Linked DNA regions of Schizosaccharomyces pombe. The gene in region 1 interacts genetically with each later gene. Each region holds a gene or a part of one and is shown on either strand. Other genes may lie near its edges.

What was found.
Region 2: of prr1 (region 1) and ecl2, changing one suppresses a phenotype caused by changing the other (phenotypic suppression), as found in Schizosaccharomyces pombe (one study listed by BioGRID).

Annotation. Positions count from the first base shown.
Region 1 is NC_003424.3:3,664,243-3,669,844, reverse strand, and holds prr1 (stress-responsive DNA-binding transcription factor Prr1), read right to left. Parts: upstream 3,914-5,602; 5' UTR 3,839-3,913; coding exon 3,809-3,838; intron 3,712-3,808; coding exon 3,622-3,711; intron 2,866-3,621; coding exon 2,786-2,865; intron 2,733-2,785; coding exon 2,675-2,732; intron 2,532-2,674; coding exon 1,170-2,531; 3' UTR 758-1,169; downstream 1-757. Other genes in the region: translation initiation factor eIF2B epsilon subunit tif225, read left to right, coding at 1-540. UniProt on the Schizosaccharomyces pombe protein: Involved in oxidative stress. Transcription factor that acts upon trr1 and ctt1.
Region 2 is NC_003423.3:960,331-964,395, reverse strand, and holds ecl2 (protein Ecl2), read left to right. Parts: upstream 1-1,880; coding exon 1,881-2,135; 3' UTR 2,136-3,389; downstream 3,390-4,065. Other genes in the region: SPOM_SPBP35G2.17 (uncharacterized protein), read left to right, coding at 121-441; meiotic dynein intermediate chain Dic1, read left to right, coding at 4,007-4,065.

The DNA.
Region 1 (5,602 bases):
TCTGCCAATACAATTAACTCAGAGGATTTCGATGAAGGAGATTTCAACAAGGAAGCTCAGCAGAGTCTTGAACGTGCCTTTGAAGAAAACCACCAAATTGATATTGCTGCTCTTGAACTCAATACCCTCCGAATGGCCATGAATGCCAACTATCACGAGGTGCGATCCGCAATTGTTCTTGCTCTTTTAAGGCGTATCATGCACTTAGATGTATCCCCCAAGGAGGCACTAGCAAAAGTAATGACACGTTGGGGTCCATTGCTTGCAAAACTGACATTTAGCCATGAAGAGCAAGTTGACAACGTATTAACGCTGCAGAAGTACTGTGTCCGTTTGAGTATGACTCGGCACTTTTTACAACTTTTGGGATATTTCTACCAATTAGAAATTGCTGAAGAGAATGCCATTCAAGAATGGTATTCTGATCCCCGCTCTAGCGAAGGAGAATTGGCTGCGCTTCGTGATGCCGGTGGCAAACAATTTGTCGACTGGTTGAATACTGCTGAAAGTGAAAGCGAGAGTGAAGAAGGGTCAGAATAATAGTTCCCTTACAAATCCTGAACTCTGACTTAAAACAGTGTTATGAAAGTGGTTTCTGTCTACTCAAAAAAAAAGGGTCACTCATAATTTAGCTGGCTATTATTTTCTAGCAAATAATAATACGATAGAGAAGAAAAATAAAATTTTGGTCTACAGGGCGCGTTGTTAAAATCCAGCACTATTCTGTTAATTACACGCATAGTTATTTACGATAATATCAGTTGGACGAATTCAATATTTTTAGCTGAAATGTAAGAAATACAACAAGCGAATGAAGATAATATAATTTGAGCAAACCGAAGAAAATAGTGGCTAAAATACAATGCAAAAACTGAAAAGTTATATTGATTATGTCTCTTCTGTACATGTTTCTAGTTGTAGTTGATATGAAAGACAATTCCGACACTGTTTGGAATTTGTGGAATTTAAACAACTAGTCATGGGATATGAAAAGCCTTTCTTCGAAAAGAAAGCCTTAACTTGAACCCCAAAGAGAACATAGATACATAGACCAAAGATTAAACCTTTAACTAAATCAAACAGAAGTGATAGATAGTTTTTTATATAAAACAAAAGTAAAAGAGACCTGATAGTAAAAATAAGAAATATATAACATTAAGACTTTTCCATCAATGTGGATGCTGTAAGTCTGCTTGAATGGGATCCTGTAACATCTGTTGAGGATACATAGGAGCATCATTCTCTAAGTAAAATGTCACAGGAGCCTTATCGTCTTTAGCTTCTTTCGTGGAGGGAACATCAGACATATTAATTGAGTTATCCGCTTGTAAAAGATTCAAAAGTTGCTTTTTTAAAAGTTGAAGTAGAGTCAACTTTGTAAATGGCTTAACTAATAGATCTGTTACACCATGATTAAAGTAGGTAACTGCATCATTCATCGATATATTTGAAGTTATAGCCAAAATCGGTGTGTTATGATCGTATTGACGAATTAAACAGGTTACAGACAGTCCATCCAAATTAGGAAGTATAAAGTCCATTAAGATGAGATCGAATCCACCAGCATTAGCTTTATTTACGGCACCAATTCCATCGACAGCTACATCGACCTGGCAATCAAATGAAGTTAAAAATTTGATAGTCATTCTACGAGAAAGTTCATCATCTTCGACAAGTAAAATCCTTGGTTGCCGCTTCCACAAGCCAGTAGTTGGAACAGCAGCGCCCATTTGAGACATGGACGTTGCTACTGAACTAGCTTTGGCAAGGGAATCGTTTGAAATTTGAGAAAATGACTTTGCCATGGAAGCATTGGAGTCAAGATGGGTGGTAAAGCTTCCTGGATTTGGATGCTGAATCGGTTGAAATTTTTCGTACATCGGATATGAGCCATGGGCGTGTGGATTCAAAGAATGGTCATTAGATGATAAAGGGGTATTTAGAGAGGCGGCAGAGGCCATGGAGTCTGCCGGCTTTTCCTGATTTGCCAGTTCATAATCAGATGAAGGAGTATTATACAAAGAAGGTTGTGCTGTGCCAAGATTGGTGTCAACAGTCATCTTTGAAGAAGCGGTAGTAGCAGCGGAAGCCTGTTGAATTTGATTTGGTATCTGTTGTGGAGAAGTAGTTGCAACTTGGCCCTTCGCTAACGCTTGGTATGCATTTAATAACTCCTGGAGAGGATGAGAGGGAACAAACATGGCTCCGGGATTAGCTTGCCGTTGAGTAGATCCCTCTAAATCGCAGAGGTAAGATATGATGCTACTCATAAGCAAATCTCTAGACTCAATCCCCCGCTTGAGTTCAAACATTTTAAGAAGTATCGTTTGGTAACTTGTGGCAAGACCCGAAAGATTTCTATCAAGTAATTTTTGAAAGTCTAATATAGAATCCACCTGCTGTTTTAGGTTTTCAATAACTGGAGCAGTGTTCTCGTTAGCTAAATTGCGCTTGGACGGAGCCTTTCGCTTAATATTGTCGAGCAGGTCCTTATGATGAAGCTGAAAGTCGTCATGACGAAACTCCCAAGCCTAAAGAAGAGAATGATTAGTATAATAGAAATTCTAAAAGGAGGGATGGCTTTTTTACAAGTATGATGGAATGAAGACAAGTTTGTTTCTCAAACCTATTCAACAAGTATGAAGCCCCTAAATCCTTAACCCATATGACATACCCCTTCACCATATATACTCGGCGCGCCTTCTTCGTGCCGTACTTTGTGAAAATCATATCTAGACGATTAGCAAGTGTAAAAAAAAAATAAATAAATAAAAATATCTCATACTTGTTGAGTTGTCGGACAAAACTTGCAAAGTTACTATGTTTGAAGTGGCGAGGCAGAATGGTCTTTGTAAACTCGTTGGTCTAAAAAGCAGTAAGTTAGTGATAAACTCAGGGAAACAAAGGGGAAAGGGGAAAAAGGAATTTTGAATGCGGAAAAGTAGATTAGAGTGACAAAGAAAGGAGAAAAATGCAAACGTAAGAGAAAAAAAAACATAAGACTAGAAGAATAGCTAGTCAAAAGCCAAAGTTTAAAAAGAAGGTAAGGCCTAAAAATAAAATTGGTCTCTAAGAGATGTAAAAACTATTACTCAAAAAAGATGATGACAAGGAATAAGTCTGTTCGAAAAAATCGAGATGCAATGCGAAAAAAAAGGACAAAGTACTAGGGTATGGAAACAAAGCAAATTCGACGACTCAGGTTTACGGGCAAACTGGACGTTTTTCAGCGTAACATTGGTAATACTAAAAAGAAAACAACGAATAGAATTGTTTTATTTCAAAAAGAAAAGCGATTTTTGTAATAAAACAACCCGATTGTTGCGATAGGAATCTCTTGCTGCCTCAAAAGATTCCTTTCCCATCATTGTCAATCCTTTTTAATTCAAGTTGTAATCAGAAAGAAAAAGGAAACAAATCAAGAATAGTAAAAAAATTATTTTTTAGCAAACCTTCAAAAAAAATCTCCCCTCTTTTACTAGCTTTTCGAGGATAAACAATAAAAGTAGAATGCTTTCTCTGGTTAAATAACAACAATGGCGGCGATAAATATAATGATAACTCATTCTTCCTTTCTTCTCTCTTTTACATCCAGCAAACAAATTTTCAAGGATTTCTTACATCCAACACAATAAAAGAATCCCCAGAATCGCTCCAGCGCAGGATATGCCTATATTCGGGTTCTTCCAACATGTTGAAGAGTTTTCGCACCTAATTCAACAACGTTAGTATGAGAAAACATAGTTTTATCACGAAACGTGAAATTTTATAATTATAAAAAATTCATCGGAAAAAGGAACCAACATACAAAGTCGGAGGATCCGTTCGAAGACGGCATCTTCTCGTTTAATATATGACCAAACGGTCGTATTTACAAAAAATCTTCACCTTTTCAACAATGTTGTTGGTTGTTGGAGAGTTGCAAATTTTGAGGTGTGGTGGATATGACACCCTCGAGGCTTCCATGTGGCTATTTGCCGATGCTCACAAGGGCGTGTTAGCTTACGCAACGTTGGTTAAACGATGAACGGCAGGAGATCGGCAATGCAAATTCGACATATTTTTTAACGTTAATTGCAGCAAAAACTTCTCAATTAATGAACCCTCAAAAACAATGCGAAACCCGCATATTACTGTCTTTTTCACTACCCTCCAGAAAAGGGATCTTTCGTACTGATCTCTCTCCTTTACGGTGCTTGATTTGACTTGATGATGCTGTTCACCGATTGCGAAACGTTGCAAAGTTAAATCTAGTATAGTGCATACCATCGTACTGCATTATCCCAAACTCTTCCTGAACCGGCTAAAGCGCGCGGGGCTCCCTAGGCAGTCATCATCGCAGACGTAACGACCGTCCCACATACGTTTGTGCAAGCGTGCTGTGGGCACAGCAAGAATAAACACATGGGATGGATGACACAGTAATAAGGCTGAGTTGCTGCGGTTCTTGGTAGTGTATCGATGGTGCATGCGTGGAGTATGTAGAGCAAAAGGATCACTATGCGATATTTCCTTGGTATAAACGCTGACACGGGATTTTTTAAAAAGCATTTTTTTTTCGATCGTTTACGTTTCCTTTATTTTTTTTATTGGAATCCACTGTGCAATATGCTCGTTGAACCATTCAGAAAAGAGATGCTCTTTATGCATTCAACACAATTGACCTTGCTATAAGAATATCCAGCAGACGCTCTTACTTTGAATGCTCAAGTGTGTGTGCTGCGGTCTACCTTTGTGTACAGTAGTTTCAACGTTAAAGGACAAGTGATTAGCTATGGGAGCTTATCGCATATTATAAAAATGCATTGGAATTTGGGAATACACACCCAACTTTGTGTACCCACTACACCTTGCAGTGGATGATGATTTTTTTGTCAACATCGTGTGATGCCGGACCAGACAAAACTTTTGACGCATACAGATCGACCAGCAAAAGCGGAAATTGCCTGTTAAAAAGCACCGAATGACAAAGTTTGAATAAACGACGCCAGGACATTGATGGACGAGTCCCTTTTTCTATGAAAAGGAAAGCGAAATAAACCGATTCCTCACTTGCTGATTGTACTCAATTAAACGAGGCTTTTACATTATCAACAAAGGGAAACAAAATAAGAATTGAGAAAGAAAAAGAAGTCCCCTGATTCATTAGAAATGACCCCTGATCCCTTGGCTCGGTTTTCGAACAAGAGAATAGATACATGTTATGCTTATTTGAAATGCTTCATAAGATTATATAAACGAAATAAATATTCTCATAGAATCCCATTATAAAGTATTCATCCTTAGAATACGTAGTTATTGGATTAGAAGACAATGTATTGATTCGTTAAATATCTTTTGCATCAAAAAATTTCTCCGCTCGTAAAATTATAAAAAAGATGGCGAGCGATACGATAAGTGCAGAGATAAGGGTATGACGCTATTAGTGCTGACTCAGCTCCGCGGTTTATTATTACACTGGCAATAGCAATAGCAATAGCAATAGCATTACATCCATGACAGATTTAACATAGCAAGGATAAGGGGTGCCCTAAAAGTAATTTAGATATTGCATCGTTTTTCGTTAATGCAAATAGTAAAATATAATTAATTTACATTAAAG
Region 2 (4,065 bases), on another chromosome or scaffold:
AGCTCTTTGCTGAGGAGTTATTGCTTCGTGGCAAACTACAGAGTAACACGTGCTAGATCCCGCGAACGTTAGATTCAAAGATCCCAAACACTTACAACAAGGTTACATGAGTATAAGTAAATGGTACGTGAATTCTACGTTACCGGTCGAGGCAGAAAGTTGCTTCCGACCGTCTTCAGAATCAAGTCATTCCATGGAATTGTAAGACAATGTGTGAAACAACAACGAGATTTCACTTCTTTTTTAGCTAGTTCTCCCGCTATGGGTGTCGCACAAGGACAACAGGTAAAATTAATTTTGATGCTACTCATTGAGACATGGGAAACAAAACATCAATCATGCCACAGTCATTTCATTTTATTAGAATTCACTCATCTTTTTGTACGCAAGTTTTCGCAAATATTTTTCGAGTTCCGGTTGTTTGCTCACCTACTATCATAAATACAATGTATAATCAATAAACGATTCGCACTTTGTCGTTAGAAATCGAAAAAAAATAAATAAATAAATAAATAGATATATAAAAGTAAAACCATTCTCTAATAGTGAAATATATTTATATCTCTATCATGTGTAAATTTTGTTTTATTATTTTTTCTCTTTTTATTTTTACTTCTCTAGTTCTCTATTATTGAATTCCATTTATTTTATTCTATTTTATTATAATTTAAACTAATTTCTTTTTTTTCTCATTCATTCCCAACCGTCAGTTTAATTTTTCATCCCTGCCCTGCACATCTTTATACATGCTATATTTCGACCCCACCTATCGCCTTAAATCTCTCGTTGAAAAAAAGTCATCATCACCATGGTTCTCCATTTTGCTCCGCTACTGACTGCATCGGTGCCTCTTTTTACAGTCCAAAGATGTGCGATCAGCATCATGTTGTTGTGAGCTGGCGTACAACTGTCTTCTCACATGTATTTTTGGGGTTTAAAGGCGGAGAATATGATGCGAAAGGTCGCTTAAAGTGAGTAGAAGAGTATTCGAGAATTAAAATGAAAAAATAAAAAATGTAGTGTGTTTTTACTATTGTATATGACACCCCGGCTGAGCTAGCGTTTGTGTGTGCATTTAGTATGCGAGTTAGTACACACAGTGTTTTTCTCGGTTTCCCACTTCCGACTCAAATCCCCCACATCAGTCGTTCTGCTTTCTTCTCTTGTGTGTTGTAATCAAATTATGAAGAGGTAACATTGTACGCAACTCACGCAATGTATTAGCATATGCAGTCGGTCGGATGTGCATTATGAGATCAAACACAGTGTATGCTGTTTTCTTAACGTATTTTACCGATAGTATGGTATCTCAGGTCAGATCATCTGGACAGATTGCGTGCGCAGTTTTCAGATGTATATATAGAGCGCAGCAGTCCGACTGAGAGGTCGTAGAAGATTAACATATAGATCAGCAAAGGGTTTTTGACTTATACTCGCTGTTCTTGATTGCTTGAACTAAACGAACTGTCCTTCTTAAGTGTCTCTTGTTTTCCTCGACAAACAGTTTCGCTGTGTGATTGAGTAGAACTCACTTTTCCTCGTTTTCTCCATCCTAACCTCTTTTCGTCTTGTTGAATCACCCGCAGGACTCATCTCTTCCTTGAAATTGAGAAGGATTTGTTTTATTTTATTGTGAAGCTAAGTTCTTTTCTTTCTTCTTCCTCTACTAAATCGGAAATATCTTCCAAACGTCCCGTATATTTCGACTTTGAAATTTCTTTTTAGTCCGCTTTATACGCTCATCCGTTTTATCTGGTTTTCTTCAATAGGATCCAATACTAGCTCGCCTCAGCTTGGCTCATTCATTGGTTTTTCCTCGTTAACAAGTCATTTTAATTTTCTTTTTCTAATTTCTTCATCCTTTTGTATTCGTTAGAGACATGGATTTGGATTATTGCATAATTTGCGGAAAACCCACTACTGGCAACTTGTATTGCTCTCGTGAATGTCATCTGCAGGATTGCCCCGGCTGTGGTTCGACTTCGGAGCAGTGTTCTTACTCTAAGTCGGCTGATCTTCATATGTTATCTTCCCAATATTTAGATCATTTCCGAAGAAGGTCTTCCATGCCTTCCCCATCCACTTCGTCTTCTCTTTTGAACGGTTTTGTCGCTTCCAGACTTGCTGTTCTTTAATTTTACCTTACATTGCATTATTCCAACGACGGTGTCGTTGATATACACACATTCATTGCCAACGGCTCAAAAAAATTATATTTCATTTCTCTCTATCTCGGTTTTTTTTTTCATTTTCTCCTGTTTAATCTGGGAAAATTTATTTACTTATTTCTTTATCTTCCGGTTCCATTTTATTTTTTATTTCTCATGGGTACTTATATTTAATTGTGCCTTTTTTTAAACCTATTTTTATTTTATAATTCTTATAACTTGAAGTTTTTTTTTTCAAATTATTATGATACTTAAAAATTTTTATGCCTTTCTTAAATGATGATCACTACACTAACCGTGTGTGAATAGTTGATCATTGATTTTTGCGGTTCATACCGTGTATGTTTCTTAAATTGATAGCCAAGCATCCTTACATACTATCTTAAATTTCCAAATGATGTTGGTGCGTATATTTTGTTTATGCACTTCATTATTTCATGAGTTGTACAACTTAATTCGTTCACGCAATGTTGATGGTATGTTTCCATTACAATGTTTGTTTGGCTTCATTGGGGTTTTTTATGATTTTCTATGATAACGATATTGTATGAGTGGATTTGGTACTCGGACTTTTTCGTCAATTCGTAATGGCATTTTTTATTTCTTTCGAAATACGATGGATATTTTTTACGATTCTTTTATTCTTATGATATGGACTTTTGTTTCGGTGTGTCACGCAACTATTCTTACTTCTTTTCTGCAATCGCATTTTATTTGCACTGTCTAACTGTATTCGAGATTTGTCATTCGTGCTTTTTACATTATGCTCTGGCATCTGGGACAACTTTATGCTGAGTTCTTCTGAGCGCGTATTTTTAAAATACATAGAAGCTCTAGGCTTTCCCTCACTTCATCATTTCTTTTGCATATCAACATTTTGCATTGTCCCATTGGTTTTGAAGCTTTAGAGTTATTTATGTGTGTCGTGCTTTAAGTTCTCAGTTTTTGGCTCATCGTTTACGTGGGATTTTTGCATTAGACAATTTTTAGAGGTTGCGTATCAAACTATTTTATACCCAAGCACTTTGTTTTCTACGAATCGATACGGACATTTAACTGGCATCAGTACTTTAAAAAACGATAAAATATTTATTTTGATGAAATTTATATTGTTATGATAAAAAAAAAGCATAAAAATTGAAAACGCTTTTAAAAATATTCAATTTTATTAAAGTGCTTTGGTTGCTAGAAGAAAAAATAAAATTAAAAAATTAACGTATATCTACTGTGGTTGACATGTAAACGAATTATTTTGTGCGCAAAGGTAATACATAAATACTGGCTGAATAATAAAAGCGCTTTGTACAGCAGTATTAGGTTGAAAGGTTGTTTTACTTTTCTAGTTAAGTGTTCATCTTTATTCAAATGGATCTATTTGGGATGCCAACTAGAGGGCAGGAATTAGCAAAAATAAATTTAATAGTAAGTGCCCACACCAGGAATCGAACCTGGGTCGCATCGGCCACAACGATGAGTCTTAACCACTGGACCATGTGAGCATTTGTTATAAGAGCTCAAAATAGAAATACATATTTAGAAATTTGAAACTAAAAATGAAATTGTTAAATGCAGTAGAACTAAGGTGGATTAAGACTCTAAAAAAAAAATAATAAATAGAAAGAAGTTGTTTGCATAAAGTCAAAGGGTTAAAAAAAATATCATTCTTTGTCGCGTAAACACTTGATTCTGTTGTTCTCGCGTACTTCTTCCCATCAATTTGATTCCAGTAAATTAAACGCGGGCGTCTTCCTTACACATCTCATTTTTTTGTGTGGCTTTTCAAGCTTCAAATCCTTAATAACATATATATATTTGGATTTATACATTAAACGTGTATTATGGACAAAAATATTAAACGAGAAATTGAAATCAAACGAGCAAAGTTGTTATTATTGAA